3 linked regions of the Lepisosteus oculatus genome follow. The protein of the gene in region 2 interacts with the protein of the main gene of each other region in a pairwise test. Links are inferred from orthologs where the notes say so. Each region holds a gene or a part of one and is shown on either strand. Other genes may lie near its edges.

Evidence for each region. The genes of interacting proteins can lie anywhere in the genome.
Region 1: the proteins of tfip11 (region 2) and snx20 interact in binary tests that used the Homo sapiens proteins (3 or more experiments, as listed by UniProt). The two-hybrid records come from large-scale screens. The link is inferred for Lepisosteus oculatus from reciprocal best matches to the Homo sapiens genes TFIP11 and SNX20.
Region 3: the proteins of tfip11 (region 2) and sfr1 interact in binary tests that used the Homo sapiens proteins (3 or more experiments, as listed by UniProt). The two-hybrid records come from large-scale screens. The link is inferred for Lepisosteus oculatus from reciprocal best matches to the Homo sapiens genes TFIP11 and SFR1.

The regions. Positions count from the first base shown.
Region 1 is NC_090715.1:2,169,476-2,173,226, forward strand, and holds the start of snx20 (sorting nexin-20), read right to left. Parts: upstream 2,401-3,751; 5' UTR 1,956-2,400; intron 346-1,955; 5' UTR 324-345; coding exon 167-323; intron 1-166.
Region 2 is NC_090717.1:14,668,340-14,672,090, reverse strand, and holds the start of tfip11 (tuftelin-interacting protein 11), read right to left. Parts: upstream 2,736-3,751; 5' UTR 2,582-2,735; intron 2,253-2,581; 5' UTR 2,219-2,252; coding exon 2,013-2,218; intron 1,590-2,012; coding exon 1,433-1,589; intron 1,146-1,432; coding exon 989-1,145; intron 849-988; coding exon 721-848; intron 298-720; coding exon 142-297; intron 1-141. Other genes in the region: srrd (SRR1-like protein), read left to right, coding at 3,564-3,715. UniProt on the Homo sapiens protein: Involved in pre-mRNA splicing, specifically in spliceosome disassembly during late-stage splicing events. Intron turnover seems to proceed through reactions in two lariat-intron associated complexes termed Intron Large (IL) and Intron Small (IS).
Region 3 is NC_090699.1:36,350,082-36,353,832, forward strand, and holds the start of sfr1 (swi5-dependent recombination DNA repair protein 1 homolog), read right to left. Parts: upstream 2,564-3,751; 5' UTR 2,332-2,563; intron 1,933-2,331; 5' UTR 1,913-1,932; coding exon 1,820-1,912; intron 1,813-1,819; exon of another isoform or gene 1,743-1,812; coding exon of another isoform or gene 1,734-1,742; intron 1,183-1,733; coding exon 763-1,182; intron 81-762; coding exon 1-80. UniProt on the Homo sapiens protein: Component of the SWI5-SFR1 complex, a complex required for double-strand break repair via homologous recombination. Acts as a transcriptional modulator for ESR1.

The DNA.
Region 1 (3,751 bases), on a different chromosome or scaffold from region 2:
CGCGCACATGCGGACACACGGCCACAAGCACGGAAGACAGTGACAAAAATAAAAGACTCTTAGAAACGAGTTTGTGTTTCACTGTATTCCGGCGGTTTCTCTGCTCTGCAGCAGCACGCCTGGGCTTCAAGCACTGCGTTCTAAAGAGGCGAAGTGTTTCACGAACCGAGAGCTGCAGGGTCCAGCTGGGGACTTGGTGGTGAAGCCGGGGCATGATGGACACGGTGCCCTGTCCGGGTGTCAGACTCCGCTGCCGGCTGCGTCAATCCATAATCCTCGTCCAGGCAGGGACCCATCTGCCCATCATCACAGGTATCCCCCATTGGCAGAACAGTCTGGGTCTCCCTGTGATGGGACACAGAGTACACAGAGTCCTAGTGTCTTACTTCCATTGCAAAGGACATGAGACACATACAGTATAGTCAATGGATATTGTATACAGAGTCCTAGTGTCTTACTTCCATTGCAAAGGACATGAGACACATATAATCAATAGATATTGTAAACAGAGTCCTAGTGTCTTACTTTCTATGCAAAGGACATGAGACACATACAGTATAGTCAATAGATATTGTATACAGAGTCCTAGTGTCTTACTTTCATTGCAAAGAGCAGCGGGCACAACTGGAAGATATGAGGAAGCACACTGAGGACTGAGAATTGAAAGCACTCTTTTACAAACAGGGGATGGGTGCCTGGAACAAGCCACCAAGATGCTGGATTGAAGCCGATTCCCTGTGAACCCTTGAGAAACAGATGGATGAGATCTTGCAGCCAAAACGGGTGTGATGAGCTGAAGGGTTTTTAATTTGTTACCATTCTGATTTTATAGCCATCTAGGAGTTGTGATGCTTTCATATTTTATCTGAATTTTGCTCGTTCTCTAACTGGAATGTTATGATGGAGAATACGGGCATTTCATATACTACAAATAATCTTGATATGGACATGCATAAAAGCCTAGCTTTGAAGCACAGTCGACAATTAAATTAATCTGCACGTTTCCGATATGATTAATTGGGTTGTTTCCTAACCATTAGTCTGTGATTATCCTGTAAGTGATTTCTGAATAAAAGAAGAAGAACAGTGTCATGAATGGGACAGGGGAGAGAGCACAAAATTTTAGAAATATTTCTCTGAGGCACTGCTTTGTCTTTAGAGGTCTCCATTGGAAACAACAACTTAGAAATGCAAACTGCACTTGGGGAAAGATCCGGAGGTCTTTTAAAATCAATCTGTGCTTTCATTTTCTTAAAGGAGTGATGTAGAGAATTTAGAAATTCGTGTTGCGCGGATATCTCTGGGAAGCGCAGCAAGAGCCCAGGCTGTAGCCTGTGGATAAGTGAGTGCAACTGGGCTAGAGATCAACCAGCTACAGCTGCAGTTCTGCAGGCAGAGCTGAGCTCTCCACTGCAGTCAAGGTCAAATGGAAATGAAAACCCATACGAATCCAAACTACACAACCACAATGAAAGCTTTGTGTTTGAAGAATAATTAATCAGTTTCCCCAGAGAAACTAGATAAACTCAAATGTATTCTAGGGGGTACCCGTCCTTTCGAAGTCGTTGCTATTAACAATGCTGTTGGTGTACTTAACTGAAAATTCCTCCTTTATGGGATAATAACATTATTTTACTTTTTCTTTCACTTGATCCACAGTCTAGCCAAAACACTGGGCTTCCTCTCTCAAAGGTTCTCTCTCTGTTTGTATCCCAGCTGACAGTTTGGCGAGTCTGTAAAATGAGGAAGTGATGCTCTACATGGCTTTGTAGTATAGCACCTCTGTGGACAAGCGCGGGTCTGAAACCAGCATAAATTGTGACGAACTGGGTTTTACCCCTGGCCTCTGACCTCTGAACTCTGACCTCCTACAATACACTTGGCTGGTGAGCACTGAACCTCCCTGTTCTGTTTGCATCAGGAGCTGAAATATAACATAAAACTGGGCTGCTTACCCGCACTGCCGTGCCAGTGTATTCCTGTTAATGTTTTCAGTTCCACACCATGCTCACGTGTTGCGCTCTCTTACCAAGGATGAATATGCCATATTGACGGAGGTGAGCATCCTGTTAGCCTGGGCGTTCTGGCCCTGCAAGGTCACGCTAGACTCTGTCAAATGGCACTGCCTAGGGGGAGAAAAAGAGAAACAGGTCTCGGGCTTTGAGGAAGGAAGTGCTGGTCTGCGATGTGTACTGTGATTGGTCTGCGCTCACACTGTGGAGAGGGGGTGGAGGTCTGTGTGTGCAGGGAAGGAGTGGTGCTTGTGTGTGCAGGGCAGAGATGAATCAGCTGGCTTCTGAGTCAGATCTTGCAATCGCTTCCCTTCACTCGGACCCACCAAGGAAAGTGGCTCATACCAAGAGCAGGACCAACCCCTTAAAACAAGCAGGCTAAAAAAGCCAGAGGCCAGCTCTGGTGCTGCTGACTTTCCAGTCCAGTGGGCCATGTAAGGTAATTTAAGTATCGTAAAAGATACTTTAGAACAAAAATGTGAATACCCCTCATCTTGTGAAGGAAAAGGTCATTAAACAAACTATTTGTTCAATTTGATCAATAACTTCAAAGTGTTCTAAATCTTTAGATGCAGGAGACGGGAGACCTGAACTAAGTAAATGTAAGGATCTCCAGGATCTGTGTCAGACATCTCCAACCCTGATCCTGAAAAGCCCCAGTCCAGACTTTAGAGGCAGCCTTTACATCATCAGTTTCTGAAGGAACTGGTGTATTTAAGACATTCAGCGAGACAAGTGGTCCTCTCACTGACCCATTACTTGCTTAATTGATCAATTACTTAACCAAGTGTCTCTAATCCTTACATAACAGGTGATTGAGGGGTGATCTTTAATAATATCTGGTTTGAGGCTCAGAATGACCAGGGTTGGAGATTCCTATGGTAAGTGCCCCCCCAACCCCACTTATTGAATTGAAAAAATGTCTTTAAATGTGTCAATATGAGCCAGTAGCAGCTCTCCTGATGTTTTTAATTGCAAATGTTCCAAGTGTTCACACCTGGATTTCTGTGTTCCAAAATCACAGTCACTTCCCCTATTACCATGTTTTAATATATTCTAAGGACAATTATGCTTGGGACCACTGGAATACACAGTAAAGCAGTGTTGCTCTTCAAGTGGTAATAATAAAGTTTAGATACAAAAGAAATCCAAACGCGATCGGGCACCTGTTTCTGTATGTGGGGGCGGGACGGAATAAGGTGTCGTTTGATCACTGTAGACCAGCGGATCCCAGCCCACCTTCATCAGAGAACCGAAGTCTTACTTGATCTCAGAAGTTGCCTCAATTGAATATTTGCATTTTATTTCATTTACGAAATTACACGGTTCAAGTTCCAACATGCTTAAGAGCTGGGGAACAGGCAGTTCAAATTAATCTTTTTACTACTAAGTCAATGGAGGGTTTGACTGTATAACTGAGGACTCGGCTGGGACAAAACCAACAGGTGTGTGTGTGGGTCACCGGGACTGGAAGCTTTTACTGTAGGACAAGAATGCAGCTGACACGTAAGAAATTGTCTCGTCTCGGATTTTTTAATCTTGTCAGCATTTGCCTTTTATGTTAGTTTCGGTTGTCCACGTCTGCGATGTTGGTCAAAGAAACGTTTGGATTTAAACCTTATTTATACGCAAAATAGGCTCCAGATTTGATTCTCGAAAAGAAACGGACGGTGAAGCTGAAACTATCCGACTCCTTCAGTGCACCGGTGCAGCGAGTTAACGAGCGTCTCCAGATTGTA
Region 2 (3,751 bases):
CTAGATTACTATGACTACATAACTCAGCATAATGGTGATAATTCCAGAACACTAGCAAAGAATACTGCTCTTGTATCTGGTGTGATAAAACATGCAATCGAAACACTAGATTAAACGCAGTGTCTATATCTCCCTGCACACCTTGACCTGGGCCAGCTCCGCAGGGGGCGCAGTCATGCTCTTGCCCACCGCCTGCCCCCGGGCCTTCAGCTCGTCCACCGTTCGGTACGAGTATTTGGGCTTCTTCTTCCCAGCCCCTGGGTCTCTGCGCCACTGGCCCAGCTCCCGCTGGAAGTCCTGCGGGAAGAGAGGAGATTCTGAACGGGCAGCTGGGCTCCCTGCCTGGCCAGCGGGGGAGAAGTGAGAGGCAGCGGCTCTCGGGCGAACGTGAGACTGGAGTTTCACACGTGACTCAGAAGGGCAGACAGCAACGGGAATTTATTCCACACCTCAGTTAAAGCTGCTGCACAAATGTAAAGATGCAAACCAGCAAGACACAACACATGAATGAAAAAAATGAATAAATGTGCTGTGGCTTTGTACATTTGTATGAATGTGATTCAGCAGAACTAAAAGTGCAGCAAACACCTTTAAAAAAGGACCTGAGCGCTGGCTGCCTTTTACCAGAAAGGAGTAAAAGCTTCACAGAGGTAATCCCGAGGCACACAACCAGAGACTGTTGGGTGCACATTAACAGGCCAGATCCGGAGCCCCACTCACCTTTTCCTCCTCTTCCTCAGAATCCACGATGGGGAAGTCCTGCAGGGACTGCTGGGTCCTCTCTGTGCCATAAGCTCCCACTGCCCCCTTGCCCTTGCGCACCTTAGCCTCAATGGGGTTCACAATACCTGGGCAAAGACATAGCATCTGGCACTGAGGAGCAGCACTGGCAAAAAAAACTCAGTAATGACAGACAACAATGGGCACACAGTCACACTGTCAGGACACTGAAACAAGCACACAGATCCCACAGATCTCTCATCATTACCCTGTGCATTCTTGCCCAGCCCTTTGCCTGGCACGTAGCCCATCTTCTGCAGCAGTTTCTGCCCAATTCCACGGGTGTGTTTCTCCCAGGTGCCCAGGTCCTGCCCACCACGAGTGCCACTGCCAAATGCCCTCTGGGAGCTCTTAAAGTTCCCCCCCTGGTGTGCAAACAGAGAGAAGGCAGACACACAGGGGAAACAGAACCACATCAGTGTGCTGTATTACCCCGGTGGCAACAGCCCACTCTGTATGCATAGCTGTACCTGCAGCAGGTGCGAAGAATGAGTAAGGGACAGAGAAAAGAAAACTCCAGCCACCGGAGCACAAGCAACTGAACTGAAGGCCATATTGTGAAGAGAGGACACTGCAGCGAGCCGTCAAGCAGGATTTACAGAAGAAACGGGAGGTTCTTCCCCCCCAGCCCCTGACCTCAACCCTTTCTCACCGTCTGCAGCCTTCTGGGCGCTGACTCCCGGGGGGGCGCCTGGGGAGGGTCTGCCTCTGGTTCTGAGTCGTCAGATCCCTCCTGTTCTCTCTCCTCGGCCGCGCTCTTCCGGAGCCCCGCGCTCACGAAGCTGACAGGTGCAGTGTAGTCCCTGGACCTGGACACAGAGCAAACCATGTAGGAAACTGCCCCAGATATAAAACATTATACCCACTTTAATAAGGCTGTGAGATTTTCCTGAAGCAATTTTAATAATCCCCCTCTCTGAACTGGCTTCATCACGCTGCTCTCCTCCCCACTGAGAGCTGCTGTGTGGTGAGCAGACTGGTGCAGCCTCCAGGTGAGGCTGCACACTGCTGGTGGTGGAGGAGGTAAAGAGCTTTGAGTGTAGTGTCCAGAAAAGGACTATAGAAGAGTAAGAATTATTATTACTCTACAATACAGAGGATACTTAAGGTTTTTATTTTTTTTTATGATCTGAATGCACTACAGCCCTCGGGTTTGCACTGAATTCACAAACTCCACTCTCTTACACTGACACCCAGATTCAAGCAAACTGGCAGACAGGGGCACGGCGCACCTCTTCCCACCAAAGCTGGGTCGCTCGTCATCGGAGTCGCGCTCGGCCCACACGCCGTATGTCGCCTCCTCTTTGGTCTGGCGGTGCCGGCGCCGGTCGGGGTTGAACTCGTTCTCTAAGTCCCAATCCGTCACCTCGAAGCGCTCGACCTCCACACCCTCCTCCTCCTCCTCGCCCCCCCTCCCGTACAGGTGGGACAGAGACATCCTCTGGGCGGCGCTCGGACTGGCACACTGCGGTCTGCAAGGGAAGGCAGGACCGTGAATGTATTTTTGCTGCTTATAGAAAGATATCTTCACCGTGATAGGAGATCGTTAAAGGATATCCTGTCAGATATTCTGGGATTTAACAGGCACCGAGAATCCAGATCGGGCAAAAAAAAATCGTGTAGTTTTTCAGGTTCTGCTCGGTCGGGTTCCGTTCTGTGGCCCAACGTCCAACACCAGAGTGCGGTCCCGACCAGGGGCGCCCAGCGCATCCGGCACGTCACAGCTCATTTTCAAAATAAATTAACCAGCCGGCAAGTAAGGCGTTTCCCGATTAGGAGACAGAAAACTGGACTCCTTTACCTCGATGGATGACGATTAAACACTCAGCAAACACCAACCTGCTTCCCTGCCGAGTATTTTCGTGGGGAAATTGCCGGACTTCGCTCGAAAACTAAATCTCGCCTTAACCCGAGAAGCGTAAACAGAGCGACTTCCCTCCACTTCCTGAGAGTGCACAGTCTACACCCGTCCCCTAGAAACGTAGACTAAAATTGTCTAGAAAAATAGTCGCCGAATCTGTGCATATACCAAATAATCAGAGTGGAATGTTTTAAATAAATAATGTGCATGGTGATATATGCAAGCCTTGTGACTTCTTGTTTCCTTCTGTTCGTATGATCTGACTCCTACCGGACCCCTCACAGTCGGAACTTTTGTCACGCGTCATAGTTTCCGCCAGGGTCTTTGTAAGGCCGTACGCGCAGTCAGAAGTGCAAGGTGGTGTGTGTTTGGTTGAGGGGGTGGGATCAGTCCAGTGGGCTCTGTGTTCAGCCGGGAGGACCGGTTTCATCTGACAGCTCTGAGGTTCTCTGGTAGCTGAGTGACGCTAAGATCAGAGTGAGCACTGGGAGGGTGGTGGCTGCATTTTACTACTGTTTTTGACACGTTGCATTTATTCTTGATAGAAGAGTGAAAAAGAGCGTACGGCTCTTCGTAAGGTTTGTTCTGTTCGGAGCGAGGAGGGACTTTTTGAGTCAGCGCTCCACACAGACGGTACCGGGGACTGTTCTGAGCTCACGGTTAGGGTTATGTACATCTATACCGTCTCCGTTACGTTAATGCGCTGTGGAGGATCTTGACAATATTTTCAGAGTAGTGCAACACGGAAAACGTGAAATTACGTCAATTAACGGAGCGCTTAAGTTGGACAAAAGCCAGCGCAGGTCCGACCCTAGTCTTCCCTCTCGGCAAGGTCACAGAGCCGTGATCGCAACCGCTGCGCGGAGCCCGGCGGTGCTGACATTGTATCCTGGTCTCCTAGGATCCCAGCTTTCCCAGAGGGATGGCGGGCGGCAGCGGGGAATGGCAGAAGGTACAGCGGAAGAAGGGGAAAAGCCGGCCCAGGCGGTGGGGAGGACAGGGACAGCAGGGTAACTGTGTCCTGGACGATGCACCGGACACTCGGCAGCTCCGAGAGAGGATCACCGCAGCCATGTGAGTCTCTCACCGCGCCGGGCAGTTCTAGGAGGT
Region 3 (3,751 bases), on a different chromosome or scaffold from region 2:
GCTGACTTTAGCTCATATAGTACTGCCTGGCTGCTGCCTCTCCACTTGTTGATTAGAAACTGTAGCTTATCCAGGTCATTCTGGAAAGAAAAATACAATATGGCCTGTAAATACTTCCATTTTCTGAAGTGTAGAAAATGCACCAGATCTGTTGAGGTTTTTCCTCAGCTTCTACAGAGATTTATCATGTCACCATAACTTGAATTCCTCTCACTTGAAATTGATTTTTCATTCTAAACATAAAAAAAGACATTTTCAGCTAATTCACACTGCAAGAAATAAAACGGACAATATTTCCATGGTACTCAATTTGCATAATCCAGTACCATGGAAATATTTTCCAAGTTTTATTTGCAATTTGCATAGTTATTACTACAGAACCGGCACAGATAAATATCACAAAATGTCCTGAAGTTTTCTTTTTTAGTTCCAATTCTCAATTACAGTTCATTTAAAATGCAATAATACTCTAGTGTTATAGTAGTTAGCTGAGTCAGCGTGCGTAAGCTGCAAAGGAACAAGTAAAGGTTTATTCCATGCTGAAAAGACAAGAAACACAATGTTTCGGCTGTGGCGCCTTCTTTGGGTGCCCTCACCTGAAGAAGGCTCCACAGCCAAAACGTTATAGTCTTATAGCATATTTTAATGTCATGTTTTCAGTCATGTAATTACATGACTTCACACAATGAGAAAGTACATCCGCTCACTGTTCAATTTACAGCACAGTACATCGGAGGATATCTGACATATTGCTTGAGATACCTTTGTTCTGTACATTCTAACCATCTTCAGTCTCCGCAGCATTTCCTCCTTTTCTCCGACTTCTTTCTTTAGCCTGTCTCTCAGCTGAAGCAGATCTATCTGTGCGGGAGGATCAGCTCTTTCTCTGGAGGAACTGCTCTGTGCTGCTTCGTTTCCACTCTCTGTGCCGGTTCTGCACACATCCCACTGTCTGGAAGTATCGGTCACCTCCGGGCTCTCCCAAGGCCTCCCTTTATTAATGCTGAGTGTGTTCCCGCCGGCACTGTCCAGGTCACGTTCGGACTTTGGAGACACTTCCTGCACCTTCGAGTCGTCCTCTGCCTCGGGTGGATCTATTTTAAGCCGTTTTGCCACCGTAAATGGGGAATGAAAAGAGCGCCTTGTTCTTTTCAGTCTTTCTTTCAGTGAAGCACTCATCGGCTAAAACCAGAACAGAAACAACCTCAGGTTGCATTCGGTTAGTCAGCGCTGTTGAAAAACATTAAAGGCAGACATCGTTTCGGAAAAGAACGCAGTGAATAAATATTATTTACAAGACGTGTCAAAATAAACAACAGTGTGGGACCTACTGTATAAATACTTAGCCAGTTGTTCAAGAGTCTTTCAGCAGTGCGTTCTGACAAGAAGACCTACAAACTGACCAATATATTAAAGGATTGAGGAGGGCTGGTTCAAATGTAATTTAAACAGACTATTTAAAACAGCTACCTCTGAAAATCCAGAGGTAAAATGGATTTAAATGGATCACAATGGCACAACATACAGACTCACTCTATAATAACCAGTAAGATGTGAGACCTTTCTGTCTCAGTATTGATCTATGTAAGCTTTTAGAATAATTGAAATGGATGTTACACAAAGGAGTGACACCAATTAAAGTAAATAGTGGTTTGCCTTTAAACCTACATTGACATGTAGCCACAATTCTGTTTCTGGGACAATAAAGTTGGTGGAAACAGCTCTACCAATACCTCAGCCATGGCAGTGTGACAGTGTAAGGAGCATAGAGTCTCATAGGAAGAGTTTAAAACCGCACACGTCTGTCTAGGTCTGGCACCTGTTTGACACTGAGGCCATGGGGTGTGGAATTCAAGGTGCTGTCTGGCGTGCAGAACACAGGCTTTGTTTTCCTTGTGTTTGGTGTCTCCATGCTGAGCTGTACAAGATTACCTAAAAAAAGCAAATGTCAAATAATAAGATTGCTTACAATACCACAGTTGACAATCAAAGCCTCACTTAATAACCCAAGTTGTTGTACAAAATATCACGACATGATCTATCTCCAGGAAACCTTGCAGGTAGTTCGCGAATAAACCTAGAAATTATCTTGTTCTACCTGAAGTACTGACATTAATTACGTAAGATGGTACTCGCCTTACATACAAAATGTTTTACACTAAGATTATAAACACGCACCTCATCTTAATATAATTTACCTCTTGCTATCTCCCCTCGAATGCCCTTCTTATTAATTGTAATTCAAGGTAATATAAATATAATATAAACTGGTTTATGTAAATAAGTGCTATTATACGTTTTTAATATTTCTTTTTTAACTTGCGTTCTTACTCGTTAAGACACCAGCAGCTGTGCTTCTCCTTGGGAAACAGGATAGTTGTCTGCATATTCTTCACGATCAATGGAGTACAAAGTCGATATTATCACAAACTATACGTACAGTACTATTCATATATTGATTTAGTGAATATATAATCAGAAATGTCACATTTTATCCGTGACACTAATAATCCAAAACACAAGCCCAACACTTGACTGTTTATCCGAAGGTAACTTCCTTCAAATTAGCCGCTACTTCCCGGTGTTGAGGGAACGCATGCGCCAAATACCACTGCTCTGTGGTAATTGTAGTTTTAATTTGAAAAGTTTGGCGCAGATTAGACTACACAGAAACTGATTTTACTTTCTTCTTTCGAACATTTCACCACAATTATAATATTTGTAATTATTTATTACATTTGTATGGTTTTCAGTTTCGAATGTTGATAAACGTCTAATGTTTTAGTAGCTGGTGGCTTTATTAATTGGTAAAATGTATTTTACAGATTTGAAAGGACAAATATGTGTAGAACAGACGTTGGTTTATCCTGCCAGTAAACGCACTTCTCATTGAAAACTGTTTCGGGCAAATATTCTCATTAAAAAAAGAAAAATAAAATAACATAATTTTATCAAAGCTTAAATGCAATGTATTTATCGATTATTTAACATTTTAATAATTATACAGATTTAGTAAAAGAGCAAACATTTCCTACTCTCCATAAAGCTTTTCTCCTTATCTTGAATATTAAAATTAAAATTAAAATTAAAATTGTCATTAAAATAACATTAATCTCAATGCACCTGTGGTTCGTTAGGGTTAAGATAACAAGCCATCCCTTGAGTGAGAAAATACAAGAATTACAATATCTGACAATACAGTGAAGCGACCTGATTTATGACAGCATCCAACCGGAAATATTTTTGGTCCACAATTTGAGTGCCCTTTATCAAAAAAAGAGGTTCATTGTTTCATGATTGTGCCTCACAAAATGCAATACGGTTGTTACCCAAACATTGCTACCAAGACCATCCACATAATCTTTATAAGGGAAATACAGTAGTACTTTATGGTATCTTTATATGCTGCATTATTATAGATCACTTTAAACTGAATTATGTACTGTAAAAATCATTTAGTTTTACGTCACAATTGCGTCTTTGGTTAAAAAAGTATTGGAATGCATTTTTATTCTTGAACGTTTTAAAAAATAGAAATTCGATAAAAATATAATTAAAACAAAAAACAATTTCAAGGGATTCCTACACAGCAGCCATATCACTCTGCAACTCACAGCTGGCAGCCCCCTAAAGCTAAGCAGGTGTGAACCTGGTCAGTACCTGGATGGGAGAGCTCCTGGGAAAAACTAAGGTTGCTGCTGGAAGCGGTATTAGTGGGGCCAGAAGGGTGCGCTCACTCTGTGGCCCATGT